Linked DNA regions of Caenorhabditis elegans. The protein of the gene in region 2 purifies or fractionates together with the protein of the main gene of each other region. This does not show direct contact. Each region holds a gene or a part of one and is shown on either strand. Other genes may lie near its edges.

The links. The genes of interacting proteins can lie anywhere in the genome.
Region 1: the proteins of F44G4.1 (region 2) and rpn-2 fractionate together in Caenorhabditis elegans (co-fractionation; one large-scale study listed by BioGRID). This does not show direct contact.
Region 3: the proteins of F44G4.1 (region 2) and ppk-2 fractionate together in Caenorhabditis elegans (co-fractionation; one large-scale study listed by BioGRID). This does not show direct contact.

What each region holds. Positions count from the first base shown.
Region 1 is NC_003281.10:6,197,576-6,203,107, reverse strand, and holds rpn-2 (26S proteasome non-ATPase regulatory subunit 1), read right to left. Parts: upstream 3,929-5,532; 5' UTR 3,923-3,928; coding exon 3,868-3,922; intron 3,818-3,867; coding exon 3,290-3,817; intron 3,244-3,289; coding exon 3,113-3,243; intron 3,063-3,112; coding exon 1,842-3,062; intron 1,790-1,841; coding exon 1,640-1,789; intron 1,593-1,639; coding exon 1,066-1,592; coding exon of another isoform or gene 1,062-1,065; exon of another isoform or gene 968-1,061; coding exon 682-967; 3' UTR 514-681; downstream 1-513. Other genes in the region: sna-3 (NADAR domain-containing protein), read left to right, coding at 1-80, 154-348; C23G10.7 (putative tRNA (uracil-O(2)-)-methyltransferase), read left to right, coding at 4,701-4,787, 4,833-5,061, 5,110-5,326, 5,370-5,532. UniProt on the Caenorhabditis elegans protein: Acts as a regulatory subunit of the 26 proteasome which is involved in the ATP-dependent degradation of ubiquitinated proteins.
Region 2 is NC_003280.10:8,992,976-8,996,789, forward strand, and holds F44G4.1 (Brix domain-containing protein F44G4.1), read left to right. Parts: upstream 1-1,660; coding exon 1,661-2,227; intron 2,228-2,277; coding exon 2,278-2,514; intron 2,515-2,628; coding exon 2,629-2,699; intron 2,700-2,744; coding exon 2,745-2,852; intron 2,853-2,897; coding exon 2,898-3,027; intron 3,028-3,076; coding exon 3,077-3,118; 3' UTR 3,119-3,294; downstream 3,295-3,814. Other genes in the region: ooc-5 (Torsin-like protein), read left to right, coding at 198-291, 334-441, 491-674, 726-1,410; ndub-2 (putative NADH dehydrogenase [ubiquinone] 1 beta subcomplex subunit 2, mitochondrial), read left to right, coding at 3,398-3,489, 3,534-3,814.
Region 3 is NC_003281.10:2,100,415-2,108,010, reverse strand, and holds ppk-2 (1-phosphatidylinositol-5-phosphate 4-kinase), read right to left. Parts: upstream 5,717-7,596; 5' UTR 5,695-5,716; coding exon 5,512-5,694; intron 5,294-5,511; coding exon 5,051-5,293; intron 4,192-5,050; coding exon 4,079-4,191; intron 3,287-4,078; coding exon 3,000-3,286; intron 1,987-2,999; coding exon 1,652-1,986; intron 891-1,651; coding exon 846-890; 3' UTR 514-845; downstream 1-513.

The sequences.
Region 1 (5,532 bases), on a different chromosome or scaffold from region 2:
TACCAACGACATCTAGAAGGAAATTTGGAAAAGATAGGGATCGTTTGCCAGAGAAGTCGTCTTCTGATAGAGGAAGAGATGTTGGTTTTTATTATTTATATTGTTTTAGCTTAAAATTTCCCGATTACATGTTTTCAAAATCAAAATTTACAGAAACACCTCGACACTCCCACCAAAAAACGTGTAAACCAGTCTCCTCCATCGCGGAAAGCAGCTCCATCGCCTGCTAAAAAGCCAGCCATATCCACGTCAACACCAGCGGTCGTTGTTCCTCCGAAGCCAAAGCGAGATCCCGAAGAGGAGTTATCAGACGGCGAGATTCTATCAACTGACGAGGAGGATAATTAAATTAATTTTTTACTTCACGTTTTCGTTATTAAAATTTTCAGAATTTATTCATTCATTTTTGTTGCTGTTTCATTTGAATAACACAGCAAGATTTTGAGGCCAGAAAGGATCTCTTGTTTAACAAAAATAAATTTTTTGTCATTATCGCTTGACTTCAATTCATGTAAGTGAAATGTTCTTCATTTTCAGGTATACACACAAATACAAAAATCAGCGGGTTCATGTTGATTCGAAGTCAAACATAAATAGAGTAGAAGGGGGAAAATAAATTAAAAAAGTTTTGAATGGGATTGGGGGAGCGAGATAGAGTTGATCGAATGATCCAGCAATTGATCAAAAATCGTTGATATTGATCTCGAACGTCGAATGGGGTTTGTTTTCGGTATTTCCAGAGCTCGCAGGAGTATTGACCTGAGTGACGACTTCACTGACAAGCTTCTCCTCTCTCTCCTTATCAACACGATCCGCCACAATAATTCCACCCTTGTAAAGTGGCTTCATGGGACTGTAGGCTCGAGCGTCACTGATCGAGATTAGCTGTCGTTGAGCAGGAATCACACGAGCTGGATTCTGTAGGCGGTGCAATGGCTTCGTGTCCTTTTCTGGAGCCTTTTCTTTCCTGAAATAATTGTAAGTTAATTTGGAAATCTTGGTTTTTTAATTTTTATGACAAAAAAAACGAATTCTACTTTTCCTAGACACTCATTCCAAACTTACTTGGATTTTCCTGGTTGATCAACCTCCATTTTCTCATCTTCAGCAGCTGGTGCTGTTCCTGAAGTGGACGATGATGATGGGGCAGCAGCAGCACTAGAAGCGGAAGCTGCAGCTTCTCGTCTTTTTTTCTCCTCAGCGATCAGCTTCTTTGACGCATTCTTCTTTCCGGTGATGGACAGAACAACAGTCTCAATCTTTTTGACATCCTTATCCTTCTTTGATTCGGCTCGTGGTGGATAGGCAAACTTCTGACTATTGGCATGGCAGATGTAGTCAAGTACTGGAATCTTCAGATTCTCGTTCATCATCACAAGGCATGATGGCTTAGCAGCAAGGGCGATGAAGAAATGCATCGAGTGCCAGAACCATCCGTGAAGGAAGCACATCATTCCGACCATTGATCCCATATCTGGCTGCTTGTCAGAATTTTGCATTGTGACCGCAGCGTTCTGCCCTCCGATGTCGAGAAGTCCTTGAGCAATAATTGCTCCAAATTTGACAAGAGAGTCCTCGTTCTTCTCTCCGATCTGACAAACATTTATTGAAAAACTTGATTGTTTTCTTATAGAGTTACCTTTTTGAGCAATTGCTTACGGAAACCGTTCACCTTGGGACAAGTGTAGTCTGTCTGCTGGCACATGATGAGAGCAAGTGAAAGAAGTGCTCCTTTACGAACGAAACCTTCCTTATCAGAAATCATTGGCTCAATCAGAGCAATAGCTTCCTGAAAAACAATTCATTATATCAAACCCCGGTTTCAGAAAAAAGTATCTTACCATGTTTCCTGTTCCAGCACAAGCAATTCCCAGTGCCATAGCTGCTCCGTATCTGACATGTCCATTGAAATGTTCGGTGAGCATGGCCACGTAGGATAAGCAGGTTGATGGATCCTTGGAGAGAACGAATCCGATACCAATTGTAGCGTATCTCTTGACATCCAAATTTGGATCGGTGGCTACTTTCTCGAGAAGACGGCGTACTACATCTGGAGATCCGGTTCCGGCGTAAGCCATCGACAGCATACAGATTCCAGTGGAACGGAGCATTGGATTGCTCTTAGCTCCGATTGCTTCTTTGATGTAAGGCTCAGCATCTCCTTGGAGTCCGAATGCGGCACAGGCAAGTCCAGTTCGGATACCACGTTGAGTTTTGTCATGCTGTGTGTCAACAGTGTATTGCTTGAGCTCATTGAACACCTCTTGATTCAGATGTCCAGCCATGATAAGGCCCATGGCGATTCCTGCGGATTCTCCGGAAACTGCTTCATCACGTTGGAGAACTTCCCGAACTTTCTCGTAATTCGAAACAGAAGACGATCCAAGTCCAGCAACTCCAAATCCAAGACAAGCTCCGTGTCTCACTGGCTCGTTTTCGGCGGTTTTGAGCCACTGAGCCAGAGTGCTCATGGCAGTTGCATCTCCGTGTTTGGCGTGAATCAATCCATATGCCAGCATTGCTCCTCCCTCTTTAAATCCAAATCCTTCGACAGATTCCTTTGGCAAATATGGCTCAAGTACCTTCATTGCAGACGATTCTTGTCCGTGATGAATGAGTCCAAGTGAAGCGACCGCATTGAACTTGTTCCAGTTCGTAGCTTTGGAAACCCAGTTCAAGTTGTTACGGAGGAAATCGTCACAAGTAGTTCCATATTGCATAAGACCATTTGAGATGAGAAGAGCATTGTGGGCAGAGGCTGTTCGAATGTTCTCCTTGATCTCTTCCATTAGAACAGAATCAGTGTGATTATGACGGACAAAGAAGTCGAGGTAAGCCTTGACAGTTTCATGACCTTTGAGAATTGAATGAATCTTTTCCATCGACTTCTCATCACGAGCATCCTGCTGTTGGAAACGTTTCAAAACTCGATCGAGGAATCCTTGACTCGCTGTTTCATATAAATCAAATGCGATCTGATATGCACGAGTGCTGAGAGACTTCGCGATCAAACTCGTAATCGTGTCAGCAGCGGCCTCGGCGTTATCCGTGAGCACGTAACACTGAAAATGTTTATTTTGTAATTTTACTTCGATATTTGTATAAATCATACCTCGCAAATCTTGGACATGTCCGGCGATGGGCACTTCAAGTACGTCTTGATGACTGTATCGATAACTTGGAATCGGAATGAACGATCGAACGCGCCATTGACAACACGGTTGAGCGTTTCGACAAGTGTAGCTGCACAAAAAAGAATGACGTTTCAGCTTAGTTATTATTGACTTACTCTGATTCTTGATGGTCAAATCTGCAGGCATCGCGCTAATGGCCCTGTCGATCATAGCCAGATTGGTCGTCTCAAATCCTAACGAGATGACAAACCATATCTCTCGTTTATCCAGATTTCTAGCAACAATTCGGTCGATCAAATCTCGGAGTTTCTGAGGAATTCCAGATCCTTGCTTGCTCAGCGTCTTGTACGTGTCAATGGCCGTCTCGATGATCTTGTTAACATATTCTGCGTCGTTTCCAAGACCGGTTCTTGTAGCAGGAACGACGTTGAAATCACCACGAAGAGCAAACTCCAAAGCACGTTCATACTGCTCCAAGCAGAAATAAACTTTGGAGACGAGCAGTGCAGCGGATGAATGCTCTGGGAACGTGTTGTTGTCAAGGAGCTGCTCTACAGCTGGAAGGGCGTCAGCGACCTCAAACCATGTGTTCACAAGAACATCCCAATCGTTAAATGCTTTGAGAACGAGCACTTTGTCGGTCACTGCTGATTTCGGTGACTCGAGAACACGAATGAATGCGGCTGAAAATGAACAATTCACAACGTTTCTTGATAGATATTAGTTTTGATACCTGCGTTTGAAGCGCCTCCTGGCTGAGATCTCCATCTGTTCAACAATGTCAACATCTGAAAGAAATCAAAATTAAAAACAATCCGAAATGAGAGCAGCTAGGAGAAGATAGTTGCGAAGCATAGTTTATTATAAAATGTTTTTCTAGGTTATCAGAAAAACAGCTTTCTCGTCTTAAAAGACAAATTAGAAAACGTCTAAAAATAAATCAGGCGTTTTAGAAAATCATAAAATTACTCAAACACCAACAATGGATGAACCGAACGAAAAGAATGATTGCGAATGACAAATTTCGTCCAAAAACACATACATTTTCAGATAAAAGCTGACAATTTCGCGGTTTCCCGCTGTGGTCAGAATTGTCATCCTCCGCGATGTGCGTCAACTAATCGATAATTGCGCCAGCACATGGGTGTTGGCGCATTTTCTTCAAAGTTGTTTTCTTATTTTTAGACAATATTTTTCCCAGCAATTCCGATAAAAATAGCATATTTTAATTTTTAAAATCAGATAAAAGTGTATTGGTGTCTAGTTTGACCGCTCTAATGCTTAATTTTTCACTGATCGTCTCAAAGCTATGCGGTGGTTACTGTATTAAAGGCTCATTGCACATAGTTATGACATTGGTTTCAGTCTGACTTAGTTTTTGTAGTTTTCAGAGGAACATTTCCGAATTTTCTAGAACTTTCTATATCTTCGAAAAGCTTACCTTTCTGCGTGTTGGATATTTTCGGCCGAACTAATCAATAAAAGTTTATTGAATAATTTTCTTTTTCCTTTGAAAAACTAGTTTACCAATATATTCAATTAAAATTTTACGTTTTTAGGCGTTTTATGTTTCCTGGTTCAACATGGACAGTTATTGTAGAACAAATCGCCGAATACGAAGAGGTTATTGATCCAAAAGCGTTTTTTGATAAGGTAGTTATTGTAATTTGGAATATTGTAATTGAAAGAAAAATTCAGATTATCAGTCTTTGGAAGGAATATCCAAACGCTATCAGTAACAGAATTACAACTTCAGTTTCAGTGGATACAGATTCAGATTTATGGAATGAAGTTTTAAGAACATTTGAAACACATTACAAATTTTGCCCGAGAGATTGCAGCGAAATAGCTATTACGAAAATCATACACAAGGATCTCGCTAATAATAAATTCTCAGATAATGCGTTTGAAGTTTCTTACTATGAAGGTTTGTTTCGAAGTTAGTCTTCTTTTGAAATGATGTTTTTGTTTTCAGAAGAACTCCTTGTACGATTCTACCCAATTACTCTCGATGGAATGCAACACCCACATTTCGAGAGCCCGTATTCAATTGCCATTAAAATCCCAACAGATACATCCATTCAACTTCAGTTTTTGAAGCAAGCTAATTCCTCTCAAGAACATTTTGAATTTATGAAGAAACAAGCATTCAAACAATTGTACACTTGGTTGAAAGGAATTGATCTTTCAAAGTGAGAACGCTATGATTTAACAAAGTCTAAACGTTTATTGCAGATCATCTCGAAAGACAAATTCTCTACTCGACAAAGAGTCCTACATCAAGACATATCGTCATATTCGAGAGGATTATGGCAGAGGAATGATCAAAGGATGGACAGAAAACTCTAATCCACAAAAATCAATTTTCGAGGATTGTGGGATTGCTTCATATATAAAT
Region 2 (3,814 bases):
ACAAATCTGCAAACAGCGCCACATAAAAATGCACGGATATTTTTGCCCGTTTGCAAAAAAAAAATTTTTGCCTTAATTTTATTATAATTTTATCAAATTCATGTATAAAACTATAGTTTCAATTCCTGGAATTAAACAAAACTTCTATTTTTATTTTTCGTGTCCTTTACTCGAGCGTAATATCAATTTTCAGGTGGATGAAACTTGATTATGTTCTTCTCCTTCTTTTCCATTTGTGCTTTGTCAACACGGAATTGATAAGCGTGATTACCGGTAAGATTAAAGATTCCGGTGAGAAGAAGTCGAATTTTTAATTATATTCGGTTTTTTCAGGCACGACTATCGCGATATCGGCCGGAGCGTTTTGGGGTCTTAAGGATCGTTTAAAGTGTTACTTATATGAATGCTGTCATGAACCTGACGTAAATTTCAATTATCACAGTAAGATATTTTCCACCTTTTCACTGAATTCAATTATTCTTAATTTAAGCACTGGACGCGGATATTGCAAATCTACTGTTTGGCCAACATTTGGTAAAGGACGTCGTTGTAAATTCCATAAAATCTCATTGGTACAATGAAAATCCCCGAAAACCACTGGTTCTTTCGTTTCACGGTTACACAGGCTCAGGAAAGAACTATGTCGCTGAAATTATAGCAAACAATACGTTCAGGTTCGGAATTTGTTAAATTTTTAGTTGAAAAACAATAATTTCTAATTCCAGGCTTGGACTCCGCAGTACTTTTGTCCAGCATATCGTGGCGACCAATGATTTTCCAGACAAAAATAAACTGGAAGAGTATCAAGTTGAATTAAGAAATCGGATTCTAACAACTGTACAAAAATGTCAACGATCAATATTCATTTTCGATGAGGCTGATAAACTACCAGAGCAGTTGCTAGGCGCAATTAAACCGTTCCTCGACTATTATTCGACAATTTCTGGCGTGGATTTTCGAAGAAGCATCTTCATTCTACTAAGCAATAAAGGTGGAGGAGAAATAGCAAGAATAACAAAAGAACAGTACGAAAGTGGCTATCCACGTGAACAACTCCGCTTGGAAGCTTTCGAACGAGAACTTATGAACTTCTCATACAACGAGAAAGGTGGCTTACAGATGAGCGAGCTCATCTCAAATCATCTTATCGATCATTTCGTTCCATTTCTACCGTTACAACGAGAACATGTCAGAAGTTGCGTTGGTGCTTATCTTCGAAAACGAGGAAGAGGAGATCTGGTGTCCAACGTGGATTTTGTCGAACGAGTTCTTAATTCTCTACAATACTTCCCTGAATCTTCCAAAGCATTTTCTTCATCCGGGTGTAAACGAGTCGACGCTAAAACGGATCTAGAAATGGCCAAGATACGGCCACTTCTCTCAAGTGTTCATTTCGACGATGAACTATAACAATTTTTCTTGTTCATATCAGTATTAGTTACCACTATATCTTACTTAATTTCTAAATTATTACGGGAAGCTGTACATGTAAGCTATTGCATTCCTCGATGATTACCTCATTTGCCAATTTTTCAAACAGTATAAATATTCTTATTAATTTTTAACTTGATTATTCGCTATGCTTGGGTTCAATATCCAGTTTATATATATTTATGTATATTTTTGATGCCTTGTTGAAAATGCTCGTACTTTGTTTCAGATGGCTCCAAAAAAGTCCAAGAAGTCAAAGAAAGAAGAGTCGATGATTGATTTTGTCGAAGAAGAAGTTACTGGTGACGTCGATGAAGATGGTTTTGAACAAGCCGAAGACATGCCAGATGAGGTGGATTCAGATGAAGATGAGCCACCGAAAAAGAAGAAGAAAGTTGTGAAGAAAGAAATCAAACAAGAACTAGAATTGACCGATGAGAAGCTTCAAGAGTTACTGGAAAAGTATGAAGCGTCTAAGGCTACAGCCACAAAAACAAAAGACGACTTCAAACATCTGCCAAAAAGTCAACGTGGAAAAGCATTGAAAAGAGCATTGAGAAAGGACAAAAGAGCCAGACAGGGAGAAAGAGCTCAGATTCGAGATGAACTGGGAGAAAGTGCTCCACAAAAAGAAGTTCCAAAAACTATTGAAAGTATGCGGGAGTATGATGCGACGATGGTAAATGAAGAAGATGACGAAGTTGAGCACGACGAGGCCAACGACGAGTTTGCACCATATTTCAACAGAGAAACATCTCCAAAAGTAATGATCACAATGACTCCAAAAGCTAAAATCGTAAGTTTCACTTCTAAAATATTCAAAGCATTGATTTACCATATTTTCAGACAACCTTCAAATTCTGTTTCGAACTTCAAAAATGTATTCCAAACTCTGAAATATTCACAAGAAAGAACGTATTGCTCAAGACAATCATCGAACAGGCTAAAGAAAGAGAGTTCACTGATTTGCTTGTTGTACACGAAGATAGAAAGAAGCCAAATGGAATTATTTTCTGTCATTTGCCTGAAGGACCTACTGCGTATTTCAAAATCAATAGTCTAACATTCACACAGGATTTGAAGGTTTGTTATTTTGATAACTTCTTTATGTATTGCTTAAAATCATTAAAACTATTTTATGTAACTTACCTTGAAAAATCAGAAAAATTCAAATAAAGAATAAAATTCAAATTTCAGAAATTCGGTGAGTCGACATCTCATTTCCCGGAAGTGATTCTCAACAATTTCAACACACGTCTTGGACACAAGTGCGTTTAATATCGTACATCACTCAATTTATCAGATATTTTCAGCATCGCTCGAATGCTTGCTTGTCTCTTTCCACACGATCCAAAATTCACTGGACGCAGAGTTGTAACATTCCACAATCAGAGAGATTACATCTTTTTCAGACATCATAGGTAGGTGAATCATGTTTATTTCAATCGAATATCTAAAAATTTCAGATACGAATTCAAAAAGGAAGGTTCAAAAGCAGCGCTTCTGGAGTTGGGTCCTCGATTCACATTAAGACTTAAGTGGCTACAGAAGGGTACTTTCGACGCAAAGTGGGGAGAATTCGAATGGGTCCTCAAGGTATGGATTTATTTAAAATTAATTGAATGAAAATTATTAAAAATTTCAGAGACACGAAATGGAAACCAGTCGTCGTCGTTTCTTCCTCTGATTACTATTATTCGTTTTTCAAAGGTTGCAAAAAAATTCGAAGCCCCAATTTTATCCTTACTAAGGTTTTTGAAGTTTTGAACAAATATCTCAATCTCTCCCATGCAACCCTATCATCTTTGTTACTGCTTTTATTTTGTTGTTTTGTTGATGTTATTGAATAATATAATTTGATGCAATTTTTTTAAACTGTTACCTCTAAGGTTTCTGACCGATAATTATCTATTCTGATGATATTTTATTATTATATATATTCGCAGAATTTATTCAGGTTCTGACCATGTTGGGGAACAAATTCGTTGCTCAGTTGGCTCTGCAGCACCTCCGCAATCGAGGACTCGTCAATTCCCCATCTCGTCTGACTTTTGTTCGGTAAATTTTCTTTCCGAATAGTATAGATTTATTTTTTATTCTAGAAATCGATTTGCTTGGGGATCTGATGCTGTTGGTCCAAATGTTCCAGTTGGAGGAAAGATGGGAGCTTCGGAGAATCCAGAATTGCACACCTATGATGGAGACTACCGCGGTACCATCTCGAAGGGGGATAAGCCAATTCCAGATTACTTCTACCGTACTCCAACAACTGGTCGAACCTACATCGATCGTTGTGTAACCTATTTCATCTCAGCTGTCATTTGGGCGTGGTTCTCGTACCACATGTACTATCATTCTGGCCATCTCTTGGGACATTGGTACA
Region 3 (7,596 bases), on a different chromosome or scaffold from region 2:
ATTTAACAAGAAATCGTTGTATTTTAGAAAAAAGGAGAAATTTCAACTTTTCTAAAAATCGCCAAATTTTTCGTAAATTTTTAAAAACCGACACATAATTCGTCTTCAACTCACCGAGACCTTTCAAATAACCCCCAACATGCCTATATTCCGCCTACTTTGAAAATTTCGGGACCCCACCACGAAAGCCCCGGGGGGTACTGTAGTTTTCGCGTCGGGACCCAAAGTATATCAAACCTAGGCAATATGGGTGTCATTTTGAAATTCAAAACGTGTTGAACACGAAAATCAGTGTAATAAAGGTCTCGAAGCGAAAATAGGAAAATAAAAATAATTTTGAAATTATTTCAAAAAGTTTTTTTTTTTCGAAAATTCATAACTTTGTCAATTTTTGAGATTTCCAGCTAATTTTTGTCTTTAAATTTGTAAAATTACCTTAATAACCCAGGAAAAATAAATCCAGCTCAAACCCCTGCAAAACTACAGTATCCCAGTAGTTTTCGTGGCGGGACCCAATTTTTCACATTTTCATGCCAAATACTGTTTATTTTTACACAAAAATATAAAGGTAATAGCGGGGGATAAATTACAGACAAATTTTCAGGAGAAAATCAAAAAAAAATTATAAATCGGGAATTTTAGCGGGTCAGAAATGGGCGGAGCTTAGGGCGACGGGGGCGGGAGAGCAAAGCAGGAAAATATCGGAAATAAATTATAATTTTTGGTATATTTTTTTCTTTTCAGCTTATTTTTACAAAAAAATTGAAAATTGAGATCAATGTGCGAAATTAAAGGTGCAAAAGGGGGGCGGGGCAGGGCGGGGTTACTGTAGATGGTGGGCGGGGTCAGTTGAGAGCCCGGCTTACGAATTCGACGAGTCGTTTGGCATACTGAAAAAAATTGAGATTAGAAGTTTTTTTAATTTTTCAGAAAAAAAAAAGTTTTTTTTTGAAAATTTTGTATTTTCGAAAAAAAAACCATTTTTCGCGTCGAGACCCATTTCTGTAGATTCTCATTTTTAAAATTGAATTCAGCTCACCGAGACGTTTCAAATGACCCCCAACATGCCTATATTCCGCCGACTTTGAGATTTTTGGGTCCCACCACGAAAGGGTTACTGTAGTTTTCGTGGCGAGACCCAAAAAGTGTAGAAATTGACGGAAAATCGTCAAAATGGGGTCAAATTGAACCTCTCAGTGTGTTGAGTGAAAAAATTGGACTGAAAATTGAAAATTCAGTTGAATTTTCGAAAAAAACTGAGAAATTTCAAATTTTTCCGAAAATCGTCAATTTTCGGGATTTTTTTTTCAATTTTTTGTAAATTTTTTAAAGTCGGCATTAAATTTGAATTCAGCTCACCGAACCCATTCAAATGACCTCCAACATGCCTATATTCCGCCGACTTTGAGAATTTCGGGTCCCACCACGAAAGGGGTACTGTAGTTTTCGTGGCAGGACCCAAAATGTGTCAAAAATGGCGGAAAAAAGCCGATATTGGGGTTACATTGAAGCTCTCAGTGTGCTGGAAAAGAAAATTACACTACAAATCAAAAAAATTAAGAAATTTCCAAAAAAATCTCAATTTTTCTCCAAAAATCCTCAAAATTTCGGGATTTTTTCCATTTTTTTTTGCAATTCCGCAAATCCGCACCTGTTCCGGTTTAACAGTGCTAATATTCTCGGCATCTGAGCCATATTTCACAGTTTTCGCGGCCGTCGCACTGCGTTTCTTGATGCCGTAGTAGGTGAGAATATCGACGAGCCCAATAAAATAGATCAAATTTTTCTCAAAATCCGCGGGACTTGCGATGGCGTAAAATTCATCATCGAGGTCGGGACCGCCCGAAACTCCGGGAAATGCGCCGCCCGTTGACGGGATCGGCGAGTCTGGGGGCGTCGGGGCGAGCTCGTCGCCCGATTCTTCACTGTTTTGTTCTACGGGACGATTGGCGGCTTCTTGGGCGGCACGTTCGCAGTCGTGGATACCTGGAATAATTTTTTTTTAATTTTTGGAACAGTTTTAAAATTCTGAAAAATCGAAATTCTTGAAAACAACTACTGTAATATTTGAATTCAGCTCACCAAGACCTTTCAAATGACCCCCAACATGCCTAGGTTGCGTCAATTTTGAGTTTCGACACAGCTGAAACCATAGCTACAGTACCCAGCGTGGCGAGACCCAAAAACTCGAAATTGGCGGAACCTGGGCATGATGGGGGTCATTTTGAAGGTACTGGCGAGCTGAATTCAAATTTTTTAAAATTAGCGTGGAAAATTGAAAATTCGAAAAAAATTCTTTTTTTTTGGAAATTTTCAAAAAAAAATTTTCTCTCAAAATTTAATTTTTTCAAAAGATTTCTAAATATTTTGACATTAAAATCGAATTCAGCTCATCAAGATCTTTCAAATGACCCCCAACACGCCTAGGCTGCGTCAATTTCGAGTTTCGACACAGCTGAAGCCATAGCTACAGTACCCCGCGTGGCGAGACCCAAATTCTCGAAATTCGTCGGAACCTAGGCATGATGGGGGTCATTTTAACGGTATTGGTGAGCTGAATTAAAATTTTTTGAAATTAGTTAAGAAAAGTGAAATTCGAAAAAAATTCTTTTTTTTTTGGAAATTTTCAACAAAATTTTTTTAACTCAAAATTTCATTCTCAAAGTATTATTTAATTAATCGAATTCAGCTCATCAAGATCTTTCAAATGACCCCCACCACGCCTTGGCTCCGTCAATTTCGAGTTTCGACACAGCTGAAACCATAGCTACAGTACCCCGCGTGGCGAGACCCAAAAACTCAAAATTGGCGGAACCTAGGCATGAAGGGGGTCATTTTGAAGGTCCTGGTGAGCTGAATTCAGATTTTTGGAAATTATTCTGAAATATGGAACTTTGAAAAAATAATCTAGAAAATTTCCAAAAAAAACATTTTCTCGAAATTTTAAGAATTATTGATTTTTCCGAAATTTTGCATTTTTCCGGTATTTTGTACCGTACCAACTAGCAGCGAATAATCCATCAAATGCATTCTCGTGAGCCATTCCGTATCACTAGTGAGCATCTCAATGAGCAGTTTTCCGGCCTCTGGCGGCAGGTTAAGCTTCCAGTTTTGTTCCAGAAAATCGTTATCTTTCAGTGTTGGGAGATCTTTGGCTTTTTCCTTATCCGACGCCGCACGGGATACTGTAGATCCTTTAAGGTCGAATTTTGTATGGACACCGTACTTTCGGCCGAACACGTTGCGCATTACGATCAGGTATGTCTCTGAGCCCTCGATTGTTAGTCTGAAAATATTGCAAAACATTGCAAAAAGAGATTGAATAAAATTTAGGTAGAAAAAATCTAAATTCCAAAAAAAAATTTTTTTTTTGAATTCAATTTCTAAAAATAATTTTTTTTTCGAAAATTTATGAATTTTTTTTCGTAAAATTTGTATTCCGCTCGCTCAGACCTTCACAATGACTCCCATATCCGCTAGGTTCGCCGATTTTGGGTCCCGCCGCGAAAACTGGGTCCCGACACGAAGGGTACTGTAGTTTTCGCGGCGAGACCCAAAATTGACGGAGCCTAGCCGATATGGGGGCCATTTTGAAGCTCTCGGTGAGCTGAGTTCGAAAGTATGAAAATTTCAATAAAAATTTAAAAATTTCCAAAAAAAAAAAATTTTTTTTCAAAAATTCATTTTCTTAAAAAAAAAAATTTTCGAGTTGTTTAAATTTTCCGCGTCAAATTCGTATTCAGCTCACCGAGAGCTTTCAAATGACTCCCATATCGACTAAGTTCCGGCAATTCTGGGTCCCGCCGCGAAAACTGGGTCCCGACAAGAAGGGTACTGTAGTTTTCGCGGCGGGACCCAAAATTGGCGGAACCTAGCCGATATGGGGGTCATTTTAAAGCTCTCGGTGAGCTGAGTTCAAAAATATAAACATTTTAGTGAAAACTTAGAATTTTGCAGAAAAAATTTCAAAGTTTCAAAATTGTTTCTTAAAAAAATTTTTTTTTTCAAAATTTATCGATTTTTCCTGAATTTTTGGTGTCAAATTGAAGCCCACGGCGAGCTGAATTCGACTTTTTACCTATAAAGTCCCAAATATTGCGGCAAAAGGGTTTTTCCTTGCTTTTCGACGACATATTGATGATAATTCCGGAGTACTGAGTGGAGCTCGGCGACCGCTTCGGAGTCCATTGACTGAAATTTTGAAAATTTTTTTTTTTTTTGAAATTTCGGGTAGTTTTGGTTGAAAATTTGAAATTTTTAGTTGAAAAACGTAATTTTTCGCATTTTTCGCTTCGAGACCCAATTTTTTCACATTTTCTGATGATATTGGAATTCAGCACACTGAAATCTGCGTTTTTAGGCCTAATTTTCACGTTTTTACGACCTAAAATTCACGTTTTTAGGGCTAAAATCCAAGTTTCTAGGCTTAAAAATCAAGGTTTTAGGCTTTAATTTGCGTTTTTAGCACTACAATTTACGTTTTTAGACCCAAAATGTATGTTTTTAGGCCTAAAAGTTACATTTTTAGGCCTAAAATTCACGGTTTTAGGCCTAAAATTTACATTTTTAGGCTTAAAATTTACGTTTTTAGGCTTAAAATTTACGTTTTCAGGCCTAAAATTTAGGTTTTTAGGCTTAAAATTTAAGTTTTTAGGCTTAAAATTCACGGTTTCACACTTAAAATTTAAGTTTTTAGGCCTAAAATTTACGTTTTTAGGCCTAAAATTCACGTTTTTAGGGCTAAATTTTACGTTTTTAGGCCTAAAATTCACGTTTTTAGGCTTAAAATTCACGGTTTTAGGCTTAAAATTCACGGTTTTAGGCTTAAAATTCACGTTTTTAAGCTTAAAATTTACGTTTTTATGCCTAAAATTTACGTTTTTATGCCTAAAATTTACATTTTTAGGACTAAAATTCACGTTTTTAGGGCTAAATTTTACGTTTTTAGGCCAAAATTTGCGTTTTAGGGCAAAATTCACACTTTGAAGCCGAATTTTCGCATTTTTTCGGTCAAAATCCTACGATTTTCTCGATTTCTCCACACACAAACCTTGATCACAAACTTCTTATCATACGATATAAAGAATCTCGGCGTGGAATCCTTTGCCGAGCCATCCAACAAGTCGGGCTCCGGCTCGTATGACGTCAGCGAGCGTAGATATTCGAAATTGTCGACACCAAATTGCTCACGAAGGTTACGGAACACATTTGGACAGTATTCTTTGACTTTGTAGTGTGACGGCATAATATCTTTGTTGAAATTGTGATTATCGATTTTTACTTTCGAATATGCCTGAAAAATCGGATTTTTTATGAAAAATCAGTGCGAAATTTGAATTTCCCGCGCAAAATTGACCTATTTTCGCATTTTTTCGAAATTTTTGACTACGGTAGCACTGATTTCAGCTGTGTCCTACAATTTTTGGTTTTTTCGTCGTTTTTCTTCCGATTTTTCTCAAATTTTCACTCGTCTAGGCCAATTTTTTGTGATTTTTTCAAATTTCCACCTGCCTTGAAGTCATCTGGCATTAGAAGCCCTGGCGGAGGGACATGAAGCAGCTGATCCACCGTATGATTGATTCCCCACATGAAAACCGACAAGACAGGCTCTTTGGCGCGGAAAAGCTTCCATTTTGGCACCAAAATCTTGCCTTTTTTCTTCGATAGGACCTTTGTCTTCTTTTTTGTCGACATGCCGAGTTTTGTTGGCGGAAAACTGCAAAAAAATGCAAAAAATGATTTTTTTAAAAGAATTTCAGAGGATTTTTCAGCTGAAACTAAAAGGAAAATTGAGATTTCAAGTTAAAAATCGTTTTTATCTCAAAAAACAGAGCGGAAATCCATTTTTTCGCATAAAAATCGATAAAAATTAAAAATTAAACATAAAATCATTGTCCGAGAGGAGTACACGAGGTGTTCCCTTCGAGACCCAAGGAACAAATAAAGGCATGCGCCTTTAATGGATTACGGTTGAAAGATTTTGTTTTTTGGTTTTTATTGGATTTTAATGGTATCTAATGGATTTTTATCGATGTTTCAAGAGAAAAATCAAGAAAATTAAAACAAAATTAAGGAAAACAAATAAAAATTAAAATTTACACACGAAAAATGAGCAAAAACTAGAAAATGCTCATTTCTAAGATGGAAAAGCCAGAGAAAAGAGCACAAAGTTCTATGTTTTGAGAAAAACGAGAAAAAAAACCATCGAAAAACTGGTTTCCTCACAAAATTCGTATACAAAACAGTATAAAAACAAAGTTTTTCGCGAAATTTTCAAGCTATGCGCCTTTAAGCCTACAGTAATCAAATTTTTCGGGTTTTTGTTGAATTTTAATGCAAAAACGAATAAAATTGCATCGAAAAAGCCAAAAAATGCTGAAAAATCAACTATAACTCAGAAAAACTGAGAAAAACTGGGCAAAATTTAATTTTTTAAAGATTCCTTGAAAATTTTCCGAGCTATGCGCCTTTAAGCCTACCGTAATCAAATTTTTCGGGTTTTTGTTGAATTTTAATGCAAACACGAATAAAATTGCATCGAAAAAGGCAAAAAACGATGGAAAATCATCTGAAATTCAGAAAAAATTGAGAAAAACTGAGCAAAACTAAATTTTCCAAAGGTTCCTCGAAAATTTTTCAAGCTATGCGCCTTTAAGCCTACCGTACCGCTTTTTTAAATCGATTTTTCAATTTAAAACTTATTTTTCCGGTCAAAAAACCATAAAAACCACAAAAATCAATAAATTTAAAGCTTTTCACAAAACGGGGTGCCTCGGGGTTGGTGCCTCCGGGTGCACACAACACTGCAAAATATTGACGAAAAATGTGAAAAACGAGCGCGGGTGCCTCCCCGCTGTGTGTGTGTGCGCATAAACCGTCTGCGTCTCCACACTTTTAGCACGCTAAGTCGTGCTCTCTCGCACCGCCCAGCCGCCCGCCAGCCACTGGCCAAGTCGATACTCTCTCATCGTCTGTGTCTCTCGGTCTCTCTCTCTCTCTCTCTGGGGAGAGAAAGAGAGTGAAGAGAACGCAGAGAAAATGTGTATGTGTGAGTTTGGTGGAAATTTATTCAAATCGAATCTTCCCTTATTTACGAGGAATACTTGGAAAAAAAAACTAGTTTTGAAACGGAAATTTGATGATGACGCAAGCCATGCGCCTTTAAATTTTAGCACGTTTTGAGGCCAAAAAGCACGAGAACTGGAAACATTGTGCAAGAAAAAAAAAACTAACAAAATTTTTGAGAAATAATTTTTTTATAAATAATTTTTTTTCCAAAAAAAATTTCAAAAATGATTAAAACCGAATTTTTCGTGAAAATTCGAATTTGTCACGCTTAGACCTTCAAAATGACCCCAATATCGGCTATATTACGGTGAAATTTACGAAAATCGAAAACATTTGGGTCCCGCCACGAAAACCTACTGGGTTACTGTAGTTTTGTGTTTTTTTTTGCGGCGAAATGATTTTTCTCATATTTTCAGTAAAATTTCCAAATTTTTGAGACTAAAACCAATTTTAAAACTTGAAAATTAACAAAGTTATGGATTTTCGAAAATTTTCGATTTTTTTCCAAAAAATTCTACATTAAAACTA